Saccharomyces cerevisiae S288C: one gene and its partners. Changing the gene in region 1 together with any one later gene gives a genetic interaction. Each region holds a gene or a part of one and is shown in the gene's direction. Other genes may lie near its edges. The genes, in order: SSN2, TAF13, BUR6 and HAP1.

Region 1 (7,869 bases):
TGGATCTGCACTAATACTTTTCTCCAAGTCATCGTTTCTTGCCATTCTCTAGCAATGCGCTCTTGAATCCTGTTGACACTCTCATTAGGATATATAAGCTTCTTAACGATAGGCCTATTCTCATAATGCGGCGGAGGTAATTCTTCCGGGTGATAAAGTTTATCATGAATGACTTCATCTTTCCTTACAGCCGGGTTTTTGATATACTCCTGATCTGGTATGGCAGCTGTCAATACCGATAATGCAGACAATACAGTATTGGCTTCTTTTGGAGGTTCGAACTTTTGACCATCAAGAAATACTCCTTGTTCATTATCCGAATCTGAGTTGGCTTCATTAGTTTGTCCTCTCTTATATTTATTTATTTTACTTCCGTGGATAACGGCCTGAGGTAAAGTCCACTGCAACGTCGCTTTTTTGTTTGGACTTTCTGCAGGAATCTCCCCGACGTTGTTACCATTTTCGTTTGAAGGTGATGATGCTCCACTACTCTCTGGGCTATCGGAGGACACAAACTCGCTTGAAGTTGGAGAGTTCTTATTTTTTTTCCTAATTTTCTGGACTTTGTGTATGCTTCGCCAATCCAGATACAAAAGTGCAGCAGTTCGTAATGGAACAATACCATCATCCATGACATTGGCATATATCGTTCTCCTCTTAAAAGACTCAAATACTTTTTTAGCCGGCGCCTGTGGAAGAATTTCTAATATGTACTTGGAATGTTCTGGGTACACTTCATCGTCTGCATACAACCCATCTTTGGACGTTAACGGTGTATATTTTAAATTCAAGTCCCTTCCTGTCAAACCAAGCGCGCCCATATCCAGTGGAACAGACAAATAAAAGGGGAAGTCGCCAATAACACCGATGAAAGGACTAGCTAACGTAATAAAATTAACGGGTTTAACACCTTTAACTGCATCAAAAAAATCTGGTCTTTTAATACTTATGTAACGCACCGCCATGGATTGAGTTGGCCCTCCTAGGGAATGGCCAATGAATGATATCCTGTCTACTTTGTACTTTTTATTCAACTTATCAACAGTCTCAAGCACATACTTTCCAACTCTAACGCCCAAGCAATGTATACCGTGACCTGATTTCCCGACGTTGCCCATAAAACCTCGAACAATTATATTCGGATTAATAGACTCATCCATAGGAAACGTCATTTCTTCAATTTTATCTTTCATATATAGCATATCACACCCGATATTAGAAAATATACCATGTGTCATAATAACGAGATGTACAGGCTTTTCTGGAAATTTTGGTGGTAAATCCCAAAGGGTTTCAGTATCCCACATCTCTAAAGAGACACCTTCAATACTCTTAAAGAGCCCATTCGATTTCTTGACCACCTTCCTTGTAGTCCCTATCCTAAACGAAAATTCCAGCTTCGGAATTGTGGTTACCGCCAACTGCGAAATTATATCTATTGTCCATGAATAAAGAGAAGTGTCGCCAACTCTAGAATTCTCATTCAATAATATTTTTACTTTAAATCTTTCGTCCGGCTTTAGATTTTCAACAAATGGAATAATTTCCTTCCCTGGAAACTTGCGATTCTCATTATAGTTATGCGGCCTAACATCGATGTAAAAAGAATATGGCCCCGTCAAATAAAGCGGTCGCAGAAGCGCGCTTTCCTCGTTCTTGATCCTCAAGAATAGATGCGATACATCTAGCCCTTGTTCCTTAATTACATCTTTGTTCACGGAAAACTTGTAGCGATATAACTCACCTATTCTTAATCTCTTCCGCTCATCAACCAATAAGGTACCTCCGGTTTCATTTATCTCGAGCGAATTTTTCATTCGGTTGATTTTGTAAGGCATTAAGGGATCGAACCAAAATGGAGCAATTCTTTTATAATAAGAAGATGAATAACAGCCGAGTAAGTGATTCTCCTCCGCATTTCCTGCTGTTCATTGTTTTATCATACTGAATAAACAATCCTTAGAAAATAGCATCGATATATTCGCGCTTAACAAAGCGAAGAATTGAAACATTTTTTCAGGTGGAGGGACCGGGTAGTGCCGGATCAAGTAGTGTAGTATTTATTGTAGTACACTCTTACAACAACCCTTTAAGACGAATGGTGTGAAATCGGAAATTACTTTGTTGAAGTAAGGTGTAACTATATTTTAAGAACGTTTAAGCTGGATATCAAGATCTGAGGAGGTAGTATGAGTTCTGACGCTTCCACGTACAGACTTGAGGATGTTTTATCCAGCTTCTATAGAGTGGAGAAAATCAAAAAGATCAACTATCATCAGTACATTTCTAAAGCCCAAAACGATCAATGGTCTATCCAAATGGAATTCATGCTACGGAAGCAGGATCCAAAGACTCTAGTTGCGCTGCTTTCAAGGGATTTATGGTGTTTCAGTATAAATGATGATCCGGTACCGACACCTCCTGCGATAGAACATAAACCAGTGAGCCCAGATAAAATCGGAACTTTCACTGCCGATTATTCAAAGCCAAACTTACCGCCACACTATGCTCTTTTTTTAAAAGCTTTAAGAAGGAAAATTTACATTAATTTGGCATTAGGTTCACACAATAAGCTAATACAATTTGGGAATGCCTGCATATCATTAAGCGGAGTGCCAAATTATCTCGTACAGCTAGAACCACACCTTTTTGTAAACGGAGATCTCACAGTGTCGTTATGTGCCAAGAACATGGGATTAGTACCAATGAAGGAGGAAAATTTGGAAGAATCTTTCCTTTCAAAGCATGCGCTTTATTTAGCACCATCTGGAATAAGGATGCATTTGGCCCCTGCTTCCAAGCAAGGATACTTGATAACGCCACCAAAACATACAGAACTTCTCTTGACGACGTTAAGTGTATCTCATGGTATAAACTTACAAAATAAAAAAAATTTGAAATGGGTTGCTGTTGTTCCTGACTTAGGACATCTCAACGGCCACACACCTACTATAGCTTCGTATTTAACTCCCTTACTTGAAGCAAAGAAGCTAGTATGGCCGCTGCATTTAATCTTCGCCCAACCAGTAGCTGATATAGAAAATTCTACTTCCGGAGATCCATCAGAATTTCACTGTTTGCAAGATGCTCTGGATGCCATTGATGATTTCATACAATTAAAGCAAACAGCTGCCTATAGGACTCCAGGAAGTTCCGGCGTATTGAGCAGTAATATTGCTGGTACAAATCCCTTAAGCTCAGATGGAGCATATACAGAACAGTTTCAACATTATAAGAACAACTCAATTAGTTCTCAACCCGCTTCTTATCATTCTGTCCAAGAAACTAATAAGATATCTCCGAAAGATTTCTCCCCTAATTTCACAGGCATTGATAAATTAATGCTGTCGCCCAGCGATCAATTTGCTCCAGCTTTCTTAAATACCCCTAATAATAACATCAATGAGAATGAATTATTTAATGATAGGAAACAAACTACAGTATCAAATGACTTAGAGAACAGCCCACTGAAAACGGAACTGGAGGCAAATGGTAGATCACTCGAAAAGGTAAATAATTCCGTGAGCAAGACAGGAAGCGTAGACACACTTCATAATAAAGAGGGAACACTGGAACAACGAGAACAGAACGAAAATCTGCCAAGTGATAAAAGTGACTCTATGGTAGACAAGGAATTGTTTGGTGAGGATGAGGATGAGGATTTATTTGGCGATAGCAATAAATCGAATTCTACAAACGAATCGAACAAAAGTATATCGGACGAAATTACCGAGGATATGTTCGAAATGTCTGATGAAGAAGAAAATAATAACAATAAAAGCATTAATAAAAATAACAAGGAAATGCATACTGATCTTGGTAAAGATATTCCATTTTTTCCCTCATCTGAAAAACCGAATATCCGTACGATGAGCGGAACTACAAAAAGATTAAATGGAAAGAGGAAATATTTGGATATTCCGATAGATGAAATGACCTTGCCAACGAGTCCATTATATATGGACCCAGGTGCGCCACTCCCTGTGGAAACACCCCGCGATAGACGCAAAAGTGTGTTCGCTCCACTGAATTTTAACCCCATAATAGAAAACAATGTTGATAACAAATACAAATCTGGAGGGAAATTTTCCTTCAGTCCGTTGCAAAAGGAGGAAGCATTAAACTTTGATATTTCTATGGCGGATCTTTCTAGCTCTGAAGAGGAAGAGGATGAAGAAGAGAACGGTAGCAGCGATGAGGATCTAAAGTCATTGAACGTACGCGACGACATGAAACCTTCTGATAACATCAGTACTAATACTAATATTCATGAGCCTCAATACATAAATTACTCTTCGATCCCAAGTCTACAAGACTCTATTATAAAGCAAGAAAATTTCAATTCAGTAAACGATGCTAATATCACTAGCAATAAGGAAGGCTTCAACTCTATTTGGAAAATTCCTCAAAATGATATACCACAGACCGAGTCACCACTGAAGACCGTTGATTCATCTATTCAACCCATAGAATCCAATATAAAGATGACCTTGGAAGATAATAATGTTACCAGTAATCCGTCCGAATTTACGCCGAATATGGTAAATTCTGAAATTTCTAACCTACCAAAAGACAAGAGTGGTATCCCCGAATTCACACCGGCGGACCCCAATTTATCTTTTGAATCATCAAGTAGTCTACCGTTTCTATTGAGACACATGCCGCTAGCATCTATACCGGACATTTTCATCACGCCTACTCCCGTTGTTACAATTTCAGAAAAAGAACAAGACATCTTAGATTTAATTGCAGAACAAGTCGTCACTGATTATAATATCTTAGGAAACCTCGGTATTCCAAAGATCGCCTATAGGGGAGTTAAAGATTGCCAAGAAGGTTTAATAACAACCACAATGTTACAGTTATTTTCCACTTTCGATAGATTAAATGGCAATGATACGATCTCCAAATTCTATAACATGAAGCAGCCGTACGTTTTTGTAAAGAAACATCACGAACTAATCAAAGTCAAACACGACTCTCAGCCATTTATTAAGTTCCTCAATTTTCGCCCTCCAAATGGAATAAAAAACTTCAAATCCTTATTATTAAGTTCATCTTTCAAAGAAGATTGTCTGTCATTTGCGCCAACTCTATCTCAAACATATATTAATCAAGAGTTAGGGTTTTGTGAGTTGCTTAAACTAACTAATGAAGACCCGCCCGGACTGATGTACTTGAAGGCATTTGATAAAAACAAGTTACTGTTGTTAGCTGCGCAGATTGTTTCATACTGTTCTAATAATAAGAACTCCATCAAAAACGTGCCACCAATATTAATAATTTTACCCTTGGATAATGCAACTCTGACTGAATTAGTAGACAAGGCGAATATTTTTCAGGTGATCAAGAACGAAGTTTGTGCCAAGATGCCTAACATTGAACTATATTTGAAAGTTATTCCTATGGATTTCATTAGAAACGTACTGGTGACAGTGGATCAGTACGTCAACGTAGCAATTTCTATATATAACATGCTGCCGCCAAAATCTGTAAAGTTCACCCACATTGCGCATACGCTGCCGGAGAAAGTGAATTTCAGAACCATGCAGCAACAGCAAATGCAACAGCAACAGCAACAGCAACAGCAGCAGCAGAATAACAGTACAGGATCATCTTCTATAATATATTATGACTCGTACATCCACCTGGCATACTCGCGTAGTGTAGATAAAGAGTGGGTTTTTGCAGCTCTTTCAGATAGCTATGGACAAGGCAGCATGACGAAAACGTGGTACGTCGGGAATTCCAGAGGAAAATTTGACGACGCATGTAATCAAATATGGAATATCGCCCTAAATTTAGCGTCTAAAAAATTCGGAAAAATATGTCTAATTTTAACTAGATTGAATGGCATACTGCCGGATGATGAATTGATGAATTGGAGGAGACTTTCTGGTAGGAATATACATCTTGCTGTGGTGTGTGTGGATGACAACTCTAAAATCTCCTTCATAGATGAGGACAAATTGTACCCTAGTTTCAAGCCGATCTACAAAGACACTAGGTTTGGAGGACGCATGGATATGACCAGATTATACGACTATGAAATAAGGGATATAGACCAGGACATCCATGGAATAGTATTTCAGCACCCGTTCCCACTGGCACACTCACAGCATCGCTGTGCTATTAGGAGTGGTGCTTTGATCAAATTCAAAAAATGCGACGGTGATACGGTTTGGGACAAATTCGCAGTCAACCTTTTAAACTGTCCACATTCTGATAGTACACAATTGCTGGAAACCATCTTAGAAGAGTTTCGCAACCTGGCTGCTCTAAACGTGTGGTACGGTCTCTCTGATGGCGAAGATGGCCATATTCCATGGCATATCCTAGCCGTGAAAAAAATGATGAACACTCTTGTGCACACCAGAGTAAAAATTGCTAATACTTCCGCCGCTACTGTGCATACCGCTACTTCTTCATCAATTATTCTCTCGGATAAATAAACTTTTTCCGGCAACGTTTTCCTGCTCATCTGTAGCCCTATTTACCAGTTTTGGTTTTAGTATTATTCCGGGGTGTAAACCCAGAAGTCTATTTCTCCAGTCGGATTTATAAAAACAAAACCGGAAGCGGGGCGGTACGGCATTTTCACTGGTGATGCACGCCCAGCGTGTAGTCCGAGACAATTTCCACAGAACGCGAATGAGATTGCGTTTAAGGCTGTATTTTCAAGGCACACGAAGCGGCCACGTGGGTCTGCGATGGTGTGTTGATGATGTCAAGAATGGTATCATACTCCGTATAAGGTTATGTAATCGGAAGTCGCGATTCTTTTTCAATTTTTTCTTTTTATTTTTTTCCAGTTTTTTCGTCTCTGCGATGGAAAATTGTTGAAGTTCTCTTGATTAGCAAGTAGTTCTTACATCGCAGGAATCTTATGTTGCATAGCTCAATTTACAAAAATAACAAGGATAAATATATATATATACGCATATACTTTTTGGGTGTTAAAGTAAATTTTGCACCCGTTCATACCAATCGTTCAGATAATTTTCGCTCCTTAAAAAAAGAGAGTGCGTGTGTATATGCCTGTTCATTGCCTGTCCGCCTCTCATTATGTCTATTTCTGAATCTTACGCAAAGGAAATAAAAACTGCATTTAGGCAGTTCACTGACTTTCCCATAGAGGGTGAGCAATTTGAGGATTTTTTACCTATTATTGGCAACCCCACGCTATTCCAAAAGTTGGTACACACGTTCAAGACGCATTTAGAAGAAAAGTTCGGCAAAGAAAAGATCGACTTTATTGCAGGTATAGAAGCTAGAGGCCTTCTATTTGGGCCATCCCTAGCACTGGCATTGGGAGTTGGATTTGTTCCAATAAGGAGAGTTGGAAAATTGCCGGGTGAGTGTGCTTCTATAACATTCACAAAATTAGACCATGAAGAAATTTTTGAAATGCAGGTTGAAGCCATTCCCTTTGATTCCAACGTGGTTGTCGTGGATGATGTTCTCGCCACCGGTGGAACGGCATATGCTGCGGGCGACCTTATCAGACAAGTGGGTGCTCATATTCTGGAATATGACTTTGTGCTAGTGTTAGATAGTCTACATGGTGAGGAGAAATTATCTGCTCCTATTTTTTCCATATTGCACTCCTGATTTAAATTTGTTCTCTGCCTCCTCCTTCAATTATTTTCCTTTCCTTCGCATATTGCTACTTTTTAGCTTGAACTTCTTTTGTTAATATAAACTGGTACTTTACTTTTTAGGTACCTGGTCCACGGCGCCTTATCCTTCTTTTAATTCATATTATTACCTACTCTTATTCTCTCCCTTTCTATTTTTTTATTTTTTGATTTTTATAAGTTACACTTGTGTACATGTTATTTCTACTTAGTTATTCATACTCATCGTTAA
Region 2 (4,013 bases), on another chromosome or scaffold:
CAAGCCCAATATTCTAATTAAAGGCGTTTATATATTTGTACTTTATGGTATGTGCATATGTATTGTAAAGAATTATTTCAAGACACAGCTCTTCCAGCTACTGGCTCCGGCTATTCATGAAAAATCCAAAAATAACATATTTATGATAGCATCAGATTCATTTCCCAATCTTTATAAACAGAATACCAATTATCGCCCGGCTCATCCTCTTTCCGTCGCCTCCAAACTTCCAACATTACTTGCCTGGCTCCCCAATAGGAGCCCACTCCACTTTCAGCTAATTTGGCTGCCCATCTTCTAAACTCTTGCTGTCTGTTTTCATCTGTGCAAGCACATCCTGCCATGAAACCTTGCCAAATTAAAGGGACAATTTTCACTTTTTTTTGATCCACCAATTCTTCCATTGCATTTAAGTGATCTAATACTTTGGCAACATAGTTTTGTAGAAATTGGCAATTTAAACTTCTTGCCATTGTAAAATAATAAATAATTAAACTGAAATAAAAGCTCATTGTATGGTGATATAGTGCTTCAGCCGTTGAGTTTATGAAGCTTTTTCCCTCCGAATTTTCTTGATGGAAGTTCCATTCTGATTTCCATTTCAATAATCTTTTTTCGAAATTTAACGAGAGTTCATTAAATTTTCGGGGTACAGGTAGGTAAGTTAAATTATAATATTCATTATGTCTCACTATCCTAACACAGTCTGAAAATAGTAATATTAATGAATTAGGCAATCCATAGAGTGAATCTGTACCAATTATGTTTTCATCAGTCTTCGATACTAGCTTAGATATATCAGATTTATTATAGTAACTTTCTGTTGCTATGTTGGTAAAAATTGGAGGAGTGGTCGAAGATGGAGTAGAGTCAGCGGATACGTTTGTGATAGGCTCCTTAACGAATTCAATATGTATTTTGCCGTCATTTTCATTGAGTGCCTCTCTAAATAAACCTTCCTGCACAACGTCAACTCTTGGCTCACTGCTACTGGTAGTAGCGTTAGATGTATCTAATGGTTTGTAATTATCATCTTCTTCACTTGGTAAAATAACAATTTCCTTTGCCCTGACTTTATCCAACGCAGTGCTATCTTGAATTAACTTCAGAAACGAGAAAATCCTGTGTAAGGTTTTTGTCTTTTCAGAAATATTAGGTCTTAGTTTCATTCTTGACTCAACGAAGTCTTCACAAAGAGCCAAGTGATCCTGGCAATCTGCCATCGTCCCCCATACAACATCAATAGAGTTCATAGATAAGATCGCAGTTAGTACGTCTTTATATTTCTCAGGTATGCTTGATTTTGTGTTCAAACATAATCTTAGAAAGTTCGAGGCTTGATTTCTCAATTCGATACCTAGGCCCAGAAAGTATTTTTGTAGTTTGTAGTTCCTTGGGTACTTGCTTTGCAAGTGGAAGCAAGAGACAGCAAGAAGAGCATTCAACAACGCATTCCTCGAGTTGGAGGATTGTCCCAAACCCGCTAAATCGCCTAATGCCATCAAGGCTCTGGGGAAGTATAATGTTTTCCATGGGTTCTTTTCGAGCACGACCACTGTCATTTTATCTGCAACATTATTAAAATAATGATTTAAAAGAAATCTCGCTAAACCATGTACGGTAAGGTCTGTTTTGGGTATAATATCTACCAATTCAGGTGGTAGGTCACTGGAATAGGATGTGAGTTCTAACATGGACTTAGGCATGCGTGATTCTTCATTTGGAGGAGCTAGAGTTATTTTATTCAGATCAGATGCGGGCAGAGATCTTGGTTCAATATTGACGAACACATCGTCGATCAATGCTTGAGGGTCTGGTTCCTCACTGTTCGAAGAGTTTTTCTGGAAGAGTAACTTCAAGTTTTGCTGGTAAAGTTTATCATTGGCACTGGCTGCTTTATTAGGTAAAGTTGATGAACCTTGATTATCAGCCTCAAAGGCACATCCATGTTCTTTGGCATTCACATGCTCTTCCCCACTCACGACATTAGAGTTTTCCTCTAATGAGATTTCTTGTGGCTGTGTGTGTCCTAAGTGATGTCCCTGTAAGGTCACCGCTGACAATAATGCATCATCTCTGAGTTCACTCGAGATCCATTCGTAACCTGTTATATTCAGATTGTTCCAGTCATAATCTAAAAGATTTGGTGTTGGTGGAACACCATCATTAGCAGAGAGAATACCTGTCTTTACATGCCCTTTATTTCTCAACTTGTCTTCAATATGTCTAATTGGAAAGGAAATAGTTGAAGAAGATGGTAAAGAAGATAACGAAATAGAAGCTGAGCTCTCCAAGCTTTTGGCAACTCTTTTCCTATTGCGCTTCTTCCTTGGAGCGTACTGCTTGTCGATCTTATCTGTTCCTTTAAACACCCCAAATTTCTTTATGATCCACGTCTTGTTATCGCTTATTTTCTCAATTGGGGGAGTATGCAGCATTGTTAGCTCATCATCCATATCTTCATGATACACGTATTCTTCATCATAGCGCACAAAATCGATGTTCCGTCGTTGGTATTGTGGTTCATCGACACTACCTGATAAGTTCGTAGTAGTTGCAGGAGAATTTTGTGGGATTGGGACACCGTACGGGTCAAATTGCATAGGCTTAGACCACCGGAGTTTGATATCATAACCGCCACAAGGCAAATTAGACTTTTCACATCGTTGGCAGTGGGGATGCCGAAGATCACACTTAACTTTTCTTCCTCTGCACGTCCAACACCCAGTAAACGTCTTTGCCCTTCCCATTTTTTTAGGGCCATTCTTGCTGGAAATTCCCATTATATCTGCAACTTAAAATTTTCGAGGTACTGATATCGGTAACTATTGCCCACTAAAGCATCAAATCTAAAAGAGATGCTTTTCGCAAGGTGTATTTTTTTTTCATTTATTTTTGAGTTCTAGCGGAAACCGCAGGCGAAGAGTCATTGATAACAAAGAAGGTTCATCAACAACTGCAACATGAAATCCAAAAGGTAACGGCAGGCGAGGGTGAGCTGGATAAGATATGTCTAGGAAGCTGAAAAAAACGAATCTGTTTAACAAGGATGTAAGTTCCTTGCTTTACGCTTACGGCGATGTGCCGCAGCCACTACAAGCTACTGTGCAGTGTTTGGATGAATTGGTATCTGGATATTTGGTGGATGTTTGTACTAACGCATTCCATACAGCCCAGAATTCTCAGCGCAATAAGCTCCGATTGGAAGATTTCAAGTTTGCCCTCCGTAAAGACCCGATAAAGCTTGGGAGAGCAGAAGAACTGATAGCTACTAATAAGTTGATTACGGAAGCTAAGAAGCAGTTCAATGAGACAGACAATCAAAATTCATTAAAGAGGTACAGAGAAGAGGATGAAGAGGGTGACGAGATGGAAGAGGATGAGGATGAGCAGCAGGTGACGGATGATGATGAGGAAGCAGCGGGCCGTAATAGCGCTAAACAATCAACAGATTCGAAGGCAACAAAGATTAGGAAGCAGGGGCCTAAAAACCTCAAGAAAACAAAAAAATGATATAGCTACTTGGCAGGCCCGTTTACGTAGGCTTGATTCAGATATACGTAGTACATATGTCCCTTTGATTTATTAATTAGGCGTTTGCTCTATAAAAGGGGTTTTGAGTTTGCGTTGGTGCTGAACAAAAACACTTGTCATTACAATGGCACAATTTTGAATGCATTGTTTTCTTATTTATATATTTTTCCAAGTAAAATCTTAGGATTCAACTGGTACATTTATTCTTTTAGATTCAAAAACCCTGCTACATTAGTAACGGCAAACTCCTCCCTCTGATAGTTGTGTTGCAATACTCAGCTGTCAGCATTGGATAGTTAAGATGTATTGTTAAGTCACCGCCTGAAACAGCAACTTAAGCTCCCTTCTGTGCTTAGGAAGGTACGTGCGCCTCCTAACCCATCTATTATTTGATTCTAAGTCACAACGAGCCTGTACTAACGAGTTTTAGAAGCGATCGTTATCAGTAAAAAATGTCTCCTGCGGTAAGTTATTTTTAC
Region 3 (4,104 bases), on another chromosome or scaffold:
CTGACACTTACGACCCAGGCATGCAATCCAATACCGTACATCACTATGCATTAATGACATCCCTGTCACTTGCATTAGACAATAACTACTATATTACACAATTAGACATATCTTCGGCATATTTGTATGCAGACATCAAAGAAGAACTATACATAAGACCTCCACCACATTTAGGAATGAATGATAAGTTAATACGTTTGAAGAAATCACTTTATGGATTGAAACAAAGTGGAGCGAACTGGTACGAAACTATCAAATCATACCTGATAAAACAGTGTGGTATGGAAGAAGTTCGTGGATGGTCATGCGTATTTAAGAATAGTCAAGTAACAATTTGCTTATTCGTTGATGATATGATATTGTTCAGCAAAGACTTAAATGCAAATAAGAAAATCATAACAACACTCAAGAAACAATACGATACAAAGATAATAAATCTGGGTGAAAGTGATAACGAAATTCAGTACGACATACTTGGCTTAGAAATCAAATATCAAAGAGGTAAATACATGAAATTAGGTATGGAAAACTCATTAACTGAAAAAATACCCAAACTAAACGTACCTTTGAACCCAAAAGGAAGGAAACTTAGCGCTCCAGGTCAACCAGGTCTATATATAGACCAGCAAGAACTAGAGCTAGAAGAAGATGATTACAAAATGAAGGTACATGAAATGCAAAAGCTGATAGGTCTAGCATCATATGTTGGATATAAATTTAGATTTGACCTATTATACTACATCAACACACTTGCACAACATATACTATTTCCGTCCAAGCAAGTGTTAGATATGACATATGAATTGATACAGTTCATATGGAATACGAGAGATAAGCAATTAATATGGCACAAAAGCAAACCTGTTAAGCCAACAAATAAATTAGTTGTTATAAGCGATGCATCGTATGGTAACCAACCGTATTATAAATCACAAATTGGCAACATATATTTACTTAATGGAAAAGTAATTGGAGGAAAGTCCACCAAGGCTTCATTAACATGTACTTCAACTACGGAAGCAGAAATACACGCGATAAGTGAATCTGTCCCATTATTAAATAACCTCAGTCACCTTGTGCAAGAACTTAACAAGAAACCAATTACTAAAGGATTACTAACCGACAGTAAATCTACAATCAGTATAATTATATCCAATAATGAAGAGAAATTTAGAAACAGATTTTTTGGTACTAAAGCAATGAGACTAAGAGATGAAGTATCAGGAAATCATCTGCACGTATGCTATATCGAAACCAAAAAGAATATTGCAGACGTAATGACCAAACCTCTTCCGATAAAAACATTCAAACTATTAACAAACAAATGGATTCATTAGATCTATTACATTATGGGTGGTATGTTGGAATAAAAATCCACTATCGTCTATCAACTAATAGTTATATTATCAATATATTATCATATACGGTGTTAAGATGATGACATAAGTTATGAGAAGCTGTCATCGATGTTAGAGGAAGCTGAAACGCAAGGATTGAAAAACGAACAACATGAGACAAAACCCGTCCTTCCCTAGCTGAACTACCCAAAAGTATAAATGCCTGAACAATTAGTTTAGATCCGAGATTCCGCGCTTCCACCACTTAGTATGATTCATATTTTATATAATATATAAGATAAGTAACATTCCGTGAATTAATCTGATAAACTGTTTTGACAACTGGTTACTTCCCTAAGACTGTTTATATTAGGATTGTCAAGACACTCCGGTATTACTCGAGCCCGTAATACAACACACTGAACATCCTATTCCTCGTGGCCCAATGGTCACGGCGTCTGGCTACGAACCAGAAGATTCCAGGTTCAAGTCCTGGCGGGGAAGGATTATTTTTCTTTTAATCAACTTTTTCGGATATCGTAACCCGGCATCTGTGTTACGTTGTGTGTTTATATTTTTTTAACTGTTCGTGAATTATGACATTCTATAAAAAAGAATCTTTTTGTATTTAAGGAGAAGAATTTTCCAGGCCAAAATTAATTTTTTTTTTTTTTGTCAGGTAGCGTGATATTTCCTATTACCCTTAAAACACATGAATTTGCGAAAGAAAGGGCAATGCACTGAGAAATAAAAAGGCAGGCAAAGAAAAACGTATACAAAAGGGGATTATTTTATTTTGGGGCATTAAAACCAAAAACGGAAAAAAAAGCACGTCACGAAAATAAAAATTCAAAAAAAAAAATAAAACCAGTTACAGTACTCATCACTACATTCTTAATGGCAGATCAAGTACCAGTTACAACACAACTACCACCAATAAAACCTGAACATGAGGTACCACTTGATGCTGGAGGGAGTCCAGTAGGTAACATGGGTACCAACTCGAATAACAACAACGAGCTAGGTGATGTATTCGACAGAATAAAGACACACTTCCCTCCGGCCAAGGTAAAGAAAATAATGCAGACAGACGAGGATATAGGAAAAGTTTCACAAGCCACGCCCGTAATAGCGGGCAGGTCCCTAGAGTTTTTTATAGCGTTATTGGTGAAAAAAAGCGGGGAGATGGCAAGAGGACAAGGAACCAAGAGAATAACCGCCGAAATACTAAAAAAAACAATTTTAAACGACGAAAAATTCGATTTCTTAAGGGAAGGTCTATGCGTAGAAGAAGGCCAAACACAACCGGAGGAAGAGAGTGCCTGAGCAGAACGGGGCGATGTAACTTAGTGTAAAATGAATACCACATCTATATATATCCATATACCAATGTATTTATATCTATATATGTCTGCACATATATATTATACTCTATTATCAAGGACGAAACGTAATCACATATGTATCAACGACAACCGGCGCCTCATGTAATCTGTACCTTTCTCTACAGTTACATAGCATGAGTATGTGTATTCCTATTTAGGAAAAAATTAACGCTATTCTTAAGGTTTACGAAAGAGCATGCATCACCCCATACGATCCCCGGAGTAACTCCCGCAGGTGGGTGTGCGGGCGCTCAGCCTGCTATACGATTTAGAAACGAGGCGCTGCGTTACCGTCTGTGACTTCTTAAATAAGATTTTTAGGTGTCCCATCCTTCCAACTGTGCCTACACCAGAAAGACAAAAAGAAAGGAGGAAAAAGAAAAGCTAATTTTTTCTTTCAAGTGCCAAAGGAAGCGGACGAAGGGCTAGCTCGAGGATTCTTGCAGCAACGGAGGAAGGAGTGTGAAAAATCGTTAAGGTTCTCGCGGTTTGCACCGCGTTGCGTTCGAGACACCAAAGAAATGTATACTTGCAGATTGTGCTGATATGCTAGTTTAAGCCCAAGCGGTCTGGTTGTTGGCTTCTTGCTTCTGATAATTACTTAATATTAATACCTCAAAATTACGCACTTGGAAATATAATACAGGCGTACTCCTTTTGTATTTGTCTTTCATCTGCACTTGACTTCAGCTTTCTTTACTACTGCTCTATATACAGTAATCTGTTTACACTCATCATCAAATAACTGAAGGAGAGCTACGGCAAAATACTTGTTTATTGTCATATTATTGCTATTGTTGTTTTTTCCGTGCTGACACAATAGGATTCATTTTACCAGGCTAAACACATAGCCACCACCGCTCGCTACTACTTCCACTCACTCTTAATCAGCATGTTACAGCAGGGTTCTTCCTCGAGGAGGAGTTTGCATGGTAATGATTTTCACACGCTCACTTCTCCTTCAAGGAGAGACTCTTTGAGTATTCCTAGGGCTGTGGACGCTAGATCTGCGTCTACGATTGATCTGTTCTACATACCGGATGCTACCGTCTCAAGGAGGCACTCTACTCTGGTGGCTAATAGATCAGACAATAATGGTAATGGCGCACCGATGCGCCAGTACAATAAACCTAACTTTGCTTCCTCCTCGACTTCATCTCTGCCTTCAACTAGAAATCGCCCCTCTCGCTACGATAACATGAATATGAATATGAATATGAATATGAACATGAACATGAACATGAACATGAACATGAACAACCATACTACCAGTGATCACAATGCGCACCCGCAATATCGTTGTAGACCAAACCCGTCCAGACGCCACTCCTTAATGACCATTCCCGAAAAGTACTCTGGTAGTCGCTACAGTCTCCGATCAT
Region 4 (8,375 bases), on another chromosome or scaffold:
AAGACTTTATGCCAAATTTTGGTTGTCGCTCCTATTCGACAAGGACCAGACAAAAATGAAGAAGTATGCCAAAGGATTCGCAAACATCACCGACGAACAGTTTCCCCTTTTAGCGGCTGCAATTACGGGCCGTAGCATTGATGCTGCTTTGAATTACGACATTTCAACGAGTCGAACACAAGAAGAAATGGACGTCATGGCAAATGGGATCTTGGAAGGAACGTTACTGAGCGACTTGATGAGCATTTTGTCTAGAATCCCTCGTGTAGTGCTTTTGATATTGAAGACTAACGACCTAACCAGACATCTTGATGAATGTCTACAGAATCCACTCGGGCCAGAGAGGACTTTCCTGATCATGACGCAATACTGCGCCAAGACGGTCTACGACGAAAAAGTGGAAAGAATTAATTCGGAGTATGCGAGGTGGTCTATTAAATGGATGTGGGAGAACTTGACAAACTGGATAGTCTATGAGAGGCGTATTAATCAATTGTATTTTTATGATTTTGTGTTGTGGTGGAAAAAATTTATTCCGAAGACTTGGTTGTCATCTTAAATCGTTAGCGTTCTTTCTACTTGTAAATATATACGTAAAATTATATATAACAATTTTATATGTGTCATTAAACGGAAGACGTTGTTGCTATCACAGTGGATTGTGTTATTTGGGTATTTGGAATATTACAGTGACTTCTTGCAGCGTTGTTAGTTTTTGCCATGTTCTGCAAGTACAAGGTTGAAGATGTGGTCGAGACTTTGATAGTATCCTTAAACAACTTCATTTTTTTATTTTGACTGGGTAACGACCTGGTGTTCCTTCTAGTCTCACCGCTAGTGGCTTCTTCTTTGCTGACTCTTAACTTTTGCAGCGCCTCTTTGGTGTCGAGTAACTCGTGTTCCAGTAGAACGTTGCGTTCCAGTCGTCGGTCACTCTCCAATTGTAATGTCTCTATCTTATTCCTCAGTTGGATATTTTCATTTTCCAACTCATCTACCTGTATCTCTAAATCTGTTATCTGTTTCTTATTGCACTTATTTTGTTGTTGGCTCTCAAGAAGATCGCTTTTTAACTTTGATATTACTTGTTCCAAATCATTTTCATATTCTTTCGTGGCGCCTTCAAGCTCGCTCAACTGGGTCTCCAGTGAGGAGATTATCTGTATAGCTGTTTCCAAATCCAAATTCGGCACCATAGGAAAGTCGCAATTGTTGCACGTATATGTCCCTTGGATATTCCAATTAAATTTGCGAGGATTGTTCTTTCGGCCGTTCGTGGTTTGTTGTAGCCCTTATTATCCCTCTTTTTCATCCTTAATTGCAAATTTATGTATGAAAACTTTCATTTCTAATGTTATTAATTTTCCCGATTCTGCAAACTAATTGATAAAATAATTGATACTTGCCGTCACAGATGATATAGAGAACGTTCAGTTTTTTTATTGTTCTATTGTAAAAAAAAAAAAAAAAGGAAGAAAAAAGCAAGATCCGATAGGAGAAGACCTCTTTAGCGGCTTTACTGCGCTACAAATAAGGTTACGAATATGCGGAATAGTTCATGATACGTTGTTGAGTTATAGTATGTAGCCAATATTTCCTGTTTTTCCGCTGTTACCCTTTTCGAAGGATCGATGAACGCTTCTGTCACTTAGTAAGCAAATGTACGAAACCCAGAGCATTGTATGTACACCAGCAGTCGTTTTTTGTAGCTCTTTTCCATGGATGGACGATGATGGCAAGACGCGATCGTGGCGGAGCCTCACTAAGAAAAACAATTGTGGAGAATCTATACACACAGAAATCGTACTTCAAGAAATATTGATTAGCGAGCCTTTAAGCACAGAACAATCTCTATAGCCAACATCTTGTGGAAGCTACAACTGTTTTTCTTGTTCCCGCTTGAGTAGGGCCTTACAAGGCAAGACCGTATAAAATAAAGATAACTCCTCCGCCGTATCCTGAATTTCGTGTGCCCTTTCTCTCTCTCTCTCTTCCTCTTTCTTCCTTTCCCTTTCCCTCTTCTTCTTATCTCAACAACCGCCCAGCGCATTAGCAAACCACAGTACGAGCTGTACGGCTGAGCCACTGCACCTGTCTGGCTTGCCCCTTTTTGTTGAGTAACCGGGTAATAATTCGGCTGTCTAAACGATACAATCCTCGTTCCACCCACACCCATTCACCCGTCGGGCGAAATCCACCCTCGCGGCCTCGTTTAGAATACCAGGCAACGGCACCAGCAACGGCCCCGGTAACTCGATCGCGTTCATATATATCGGATATACTCTTGAGGCACAATTTTTTTCGGTTTTCGGTTTTTTCTATTATTCTTCGAGATGCAAAGCACACATTTGAGACTCACAACTCAAGATACCGCAAGCACACAGACGCTATTGTTCTCCCAAAGAATAGGTTCCTGCAGTGCTCTTTTAAGGTTTGAAGATATTGCACAAAATTGTATCTGATTTCATCTCATCGAACCTCATTCCATCAACTTCCTTTTATCAAAGCATCTTGTTTTGTTTTCGCAGAAAATTTTTCTTCCCTTTCAATTTGGCCTTTTAGTTTTTCTCCAGTCGCAGGCAAGAAGGTAAGGAAATAGAAGAAAAAGAAAAAAAAAAAAAGGGAACAATAGGTTAGATGTCGAATACCCCTTATAATTCATCTGTGCCTTCCATTGCATCCATGACCCAGTCTTCGGTCTCAAGAAGTCCTAACATGCATACAGCAACTACGCCCGGTGCCAACACCAGCTCTAACTCTCCACCCTTGCACATGTCTTCAGATTCGTCCAAGATCAAGAGGAAGCGTAACAGAATTCCGCTCAGTTGCACCATTTGTCGGAAAAGGAAAGTCAAATGTGACAAACTCAGACCACACTGCCAGCAGTGCACTAAAACTGGGGTAGCCCATCTCTGCCACTACATGGAACAGACCTGGGCAGAAGAGGCAGAGAAAGAATTGCTGAAGGACAACGAATTAAAGAAGCTTAGGGAGCGCGTAAAATCTTTAGAAAAGACTCTTTCTAAGGTGCACTCTTCTCCTTCGTCTAACTCCTTGAAAAGTTACAACACTCCCGAGAGCAGCAACCTGTTTATGGGTAGCGATGAACACACCACCCTTGTTAATGCAAATACAGGCTCTGCTTCCTCTGCCTCGCATATGCATCAGCAACAACAGCAACAGCAGCAACAGGAACAACAACAAGACTTTTCCAGAAGTGCGAACGCCAACGCGAATTCCTCGTCCCTTTCTATCTCAAATAAATATGACAACGATGAGCTGGACTTAACTAAGGACTTTGATCTTTTGCATATCAAAAGTAACGGAACCATCCACTTAGGTGCCACCCACTGGTTGTCTATCATGAAAGGTGACCCGTACCTAAAACTTTTGTGGGGTCATATCTTCGCTATGAGGGAAAAGTTAAATGAATGGTACTACCAAAAAAATTCGTACTCTAAGCTGAAGTCAAGCAAATGTCCCATCAATCACGCGCAAGCGCCGCCTTCTGCCGCTGCCGCCGCTACCAGAAAATGTCCTGTTGATCACTCCGCGTTTTCGTCTGGCATGGTGGCCCCAAAGGAGGAGACTCCTCTTCCTAGGAAATGTCCAGTTGACCACACCATGTTCTCTTCGGGAATGATTCCTCCCAGAGAGGACACTTCGTCCCAGAAGAGGTGTCCCGTTGACCACACCATGTATTCCGCAGGAATGATGCCGCCCAAGGACGAGACACCTTCCCCATTTTCCACTAAAGCTATGATAGACCATAACAAGCATACAATGAATCCGCCTCAGTCAAAATGTCCTGTGGACCATAGAAACTATATGAAGGATTATCCCTCTGACATGGCAAATTCTTCTTCGAACCCGGCAAGTCGTTGCCCCATTGACCATTCAAGCATGAAAAATACAGCGGCCTTACCAGCTTCAACGCACAATACCATCCCACACCACCAACCACAGTCCGGATCTCATGCTCGTTCGCATCCCGCACAAAGCAGGAAACATGATTCCTACATGACAGAATCTGAAGTCCTCGCAACACTTTGTGAGATGTTGCCACCAAAGCGCGTCATCGCATTATTCATCGAGAAATTCTTCAAACATTTATACCCTGCCATTCCAATCTTAGATGAACAGAATTTCAAAAATCACGTGAATCAAATGCTTTCGTTGTCTTCGATGAATCCCACAGTTAACAACTTTGGTATGAGCATGCCATCTTCATCTACACTAGAGAACCAACCCATAACACAAATCAATCTTCCAAAACTTTCCGATTCTTGTAACTTAGGTATTCTGATAATAATCTTGAGATTGACATGGCTATCCATACCTTCTAATTCCTGCGAAGTCGACCTGGGAGAAGAAAGTGGCTCATTTTTAGTGCCCAACGAATCTAGCAATATGTCTGCATCTGCATTGACCTCGATGGCTAAAGAAGAATCACTTCTGCTAAAGCATGAGACACCGGTCGAGGCACTGGAGCTATGTCAAAAATACTTGATTAAATTCGATGAACTTTCTAGTATTTCCAATAACAACGTTAATTTAACCACGGTGCAGTTTGCCATTTTTTACAACTTCTATATGAAAAGTGCCTCTAATGATTTGACTACCTTGACAAATACCAACAACACTGGCATGGCCAATCCTGGTCACGATTCCGAGTCTCACCAGATCCTATTGTCCAATATTACTCAAATGGCCTTTAGTTGTGGGTTACACAGAGACCCTGATAATTTTCCTCAATTAAACGCTACCATTCCAGCAACCAGCCAGGACGTGTCTAACAACGGGAGCAAAAAGGCAAACCCTAGCACCAATCCAACTTTGAATAACAACATGTCTGCTGCCACTACCAACAGCAGTAGCAGATCTGGCAGTGCTGATTCAAGAAGTGGTTCTAACCCTGTGAACAAGAAGGAAAATCAGGTTAGTATCGAAAGATTTAAACACACTTGGAGGAAAATTTGGTATTACATTGTTAGCATGGATGTTAACCAATCTCTTTCCCTGGGGAGCCCTCGACTACTAAGAAATCTGAGGGATTTCAGCGATACAAAGCTACCAAGTGCGTCAAGGATTGATTATGTTCGCGATATCAAAGAGTTAATCATTGTGAAGAATTTTACTCTTTTTTTCCAAATTGATTTGTGTATTATTGCTGTATTAAATCACATTTTGAATGTTTCTTTAGCAAGAAGCGTGAGAAAATTTGAACTGGATTCATTGATTAATTTATTGAAAAATCTGACCTATGGTACTGAGAATGTCAATGATGTAGTGAGCTCCTTGATCAACAAAGGGTTATTACCAACTTCGGAAGGTGGTTCTGTAGATTCAAATAATGATGAAATTTACGGTCTACCGAAACTACCCGATATTCTAAACCATGGTCAACATAACCAAAACTTGTATGCTGATGGAAGAAATACTTCTAGTAGTGATATAGATAAGAAATTGGACCTTCCTCACGAATCTACAACGAGAGCTCTATTCTTTTCCAAGCATATGACAATTAGAATGTTGCTGTACTTATTGAACTACATTTTGTTTACTCATTATGAACCAATGGGCAGTGAAGATCCTGGTACTAATATCCTAGCTAAGGAGTACGCTCAAGAGGCATTAAATTTTGCCATGGATGGCTACAGAAACTGCATGATTTTCTTCAACAATATCAGAAACACCAATTCACTATTCGATTACATGAATGTTATCTTGTCTTACCCTTGTTTGGACATTGGACATCGTTCTTTACAATTTATCGTTTGTTTGATCCTGAGAGCTAAATGTGGCCCATTGACTGGTATGCGTGAATCATCGATCATTACTAATGGTACATCAAGTGGATTTAATAGTTCGGTAGAAGATGAGGACGTCAAAGTTAAACAAGAATCTTCTGATGAATTGAAAAAAGACGATTTCATGAAAGATGTAAATTTGGATTCAGGCGATTCATTAGCAGAGATTCTAATGTCAAGAATGCTGCTATTTCAAAAACTAACAAAACAACTATCAAAGAAGTACAACTACGCTATTCGTATGAACAAATCCACTGGATTCTTTGTCTCTTTACTAGATACACCTTCAAAGAAATCAGACTCGAAATCGGGTGGTAGTTCATTCATGTTGGGTAATTGGAAACATCCAAAGGTTTCAAACATGAGCGGATTTCTTGCTGGTGACAAAGACCAATTACAGAAATGCCCCGTGTACCAAGATGCGCTGGGGTTTGTTAGTCCAACCGGTGCTAATGAAGGTTCTGCTCCGATGCAAGGCATGTCCTTACAGGGCTCTACTGCTAGGATGGGAGGGACCCAGTTGCCACCAATTAGATCATACAAACCTATCACGTACACAAGTAGTAATCTACGTCGTATGAATGAAACGGGTGAGGCAGAAGCTAAGAGAAGAAGATTTAATGATGGCTATATTGATAATAATAGTAACAACGATATACCTAGAGGAATCAGCCCAAAACCTTCAAATGGGCTATCATCGGTGCAGCCACTATTATCGTCATTTTCCATGAACCAGCTAAACGGGGGTACCATTCCAACGGTTCCATCGTTAACCAACATTACTTCACAAATGGGAGCTTTACCATCTTTAGATAGGATCACCACTAATCAAATAAATTTGCCAGACCCATCTAGAGATGAAGCATTTGACAACTCCATCAAGCAAATGACGCCTATGACAAGTGCATTCATGAATGCTAATACTACAATTCCAAGTTCAACTTTAAACGGGAATATGAACATGAATGGAGCTGGAACTGCGAATACAGATACAAGTGCCAACGGCAGTGCTTTATCGACACTGACAAGCCCACAAGGCTCAGACTTAGCATCCAATTCTGCTACACAGTATAAACCTGACTTAGAAGACTTTTTGATGCAAAATTCTAACTTTAATGGGCTAATGATAAATCCTTCCAGTCTGGTAGAAGTTGTTGGTGGATACAACGATCCTAATAACCTTGGAAGAAATGACGCGGTTGATTTTCTACCCGTTGATAATGTTGAAATTGATGGTGTTGGAATAAAAATCAACTATCATCTACTAACTAGTATTTACGTTACTAGTATATTATCATATACGGTGTTAGAAGATGACGCAAATGATGAGAAATAGTCATCTAAATTAGTGGAAGCTGAAACGCAAGGATTGATAATGTAATAGGATCAATGAATATTAACATATAAAACGATGATAATAATATTTATAGAATTGTGTAGAATTGCAGATTCCCTTTTATGGATTCCTAAATCCTCGAGGAGAACTTCTAGTATATTCTGTATACCTAATATTATAGCCTTTATCAACAATGGAATCCCAACAATTATCTCAACACCCACACATTTCTCATGGTAGCGCCTGTGCTTCGGTTACTTCTAAGGAAGTCCACACAAATCAAGATCCGTTAGACGTTTCAGCTTCCAAAACAGAAGAATGTGAGAAGGCTTCCACTAAGGCTAACTCTCAACAGACAACAACACCTGCTTCATCAGCTGTTCCAGAGAACCCCCATCATGCCTCTCCTCAACCTGCTTCAGTACCACCTCCACAGAATGGGCCGTACCCACAGCAGTGCATGATGACCCAAAACCAAGCCAATCCATCTGGTTGGTCATTTTACGGACACCCATCTATGATTCCGTATACACCTTATCAAATGTCGCCTATGTACTTTCCACCTGGGCCACAATCACAGTTTCCGCAGTATCCATCATCAGTTGGAACGCCTCTGAGCACTCCATCACCTGAGTCAGGTAATACATTTACTGATTCATCCTCAGCGGACTCTGATATGACATCCACTAAAAAATATGTCAGACCACCACCAATGTTAACCTCACCTAATGACTTTCCAAATTGGGTTAAAACATACATCAAATTTTTACAAAACTCGAATCTCGGTGGTATTATTCCGACAGTAAACGGAAAACCCGTACGTCAGATCACTGATGATGAACTCACCTTCTTGTATAACACTTTTCAAATATTTGCTCCCTCTCAATTCCTACCTACCTGGGTCAAAGACATCCTATCCGTTGATTATACGGATATCATGAAAATTCTTTCCAAAAGTATTGAAAAAATGCAATCTGATACCCAAGAGGCAAACGACATTGTGACCCTGGCAAATTTGCAATATAATGGCAGTACACCTGCAGATGCATTTGAAACAAAAGTCACAAACATTATCGACAGACTGAACAATAATGGCATTCATATCAATAACAAGGTCGCATGCCAATTAATTATGAGAGGTCTATCTGGCGAATATAAATTTTTACGCTACACACGTCATCGACATCTAAATATGACAGTCGCTGAACTGTTCTTAGATATCCATGCTA

The links.
Region 2: mutations in SSN2 (region 1) and TAF13 together harm fitness more than expected from each alone (negative genetic interaction), as found in Saccharomyces cerevisiae (2 studies listed by BioGRID).
Region 3: of SSN2 (region 1) and BUR6, a mutation in one rescues a mutant of the other (synthetic rescue), as found in Saccharomyces cerevisiae (one study listed by BioGRID).
Region 4: of SSN2 (region 1) and HAP1, a mutation in one rescues a mutant of the other (synthetic rescue), as found in Saccharomyces cerevisiae (one study listed by BioGRID).

The regions. Positions count from the first base shown.
Region 1 is NC_001136.10:1,344,259-1,352,127, reverse strand, and holds SSN2 (Ssn2p), read left to right. Parts: upstream 1-2,189; coding exon 2,190-6,452; downstream 6,453-7,869. Other genes in the region: YDR444W (putative hydrolase), read right to left, coding at 1-1,838; adenine phosphoribosyltransferase APT2, read left to right, coding at 7,066-7,611. UniProt on the Saccharomyces cerevisiae protein: Component of the SRB8-11 complex. The SRB8-11 complex is a regulatory module of the Mediator complex which is itself involved in regulation of basal and activated RNA polymerase II-dependent transcription.
Region 2 is NC_001145.3:74,258-78,270, forward strand, and holds TAF13 (Taf13p), read left to right. Parts: upstream 1-3,009; coding exon 3,010-3,513; downstream 3,514-4,013. Other genes in the region: ARG81 (Arg81p), read right to left, coding at 141-2,783. UniProt on the Saccharomyces cerevisiae protein: Functions as a component of the DNA-binding general transcription factor complex TFIID. Binding of TFIID to a promoter (with or without TATA element) is the initial step in pre-initiation complex (PIC) formation.
Region 3 is NC_001137.3:490,089-494,192, reverse strand, and holds BUR6 (negative cofactor 2 transcription regulator complex subunit BUR6), read left to right. Parts: upstream 1-2,234; coding exon 2,235-2,663; downstream 2,664-4,104. Other genes in the region: YER158C (uncharacterized protein), read left to right, coding at 3,615-4,104. UniProt on the Saccharomyces cerevisiae protein: Component of the NC2 complex which represses RNA polymerase II transcription through binding to SPT15/TBP and thereby inhibiting the assembly of the preinitiation complex.
Region 4 is NC_001144.5:643,778-652,152, forward strand, and holds HAP1 (Hap1p), read left to right. Parts: upstream 1-2,637; coding exon 2,638-7,146; downstream 7,147-8,375. Other genes in the region: CQD2 (Cqd2p), read left to right, coding at 1-559; NDL1 (Ndl1p), read right to left, coding at 627-1,196; YLR255C (uncharacterized protein), read right to left, coding at 1,823-2,176; YLR256W-A (gag protein), read left to right, coding at 7,340-8,375. UniProt on the Saccharomyces cerevisiae protein: Regulation of oxygen dependent gene expression. It modulates the expression of Iso-1 (CYP1) and Iso-2 (CYP3) cytochrome c.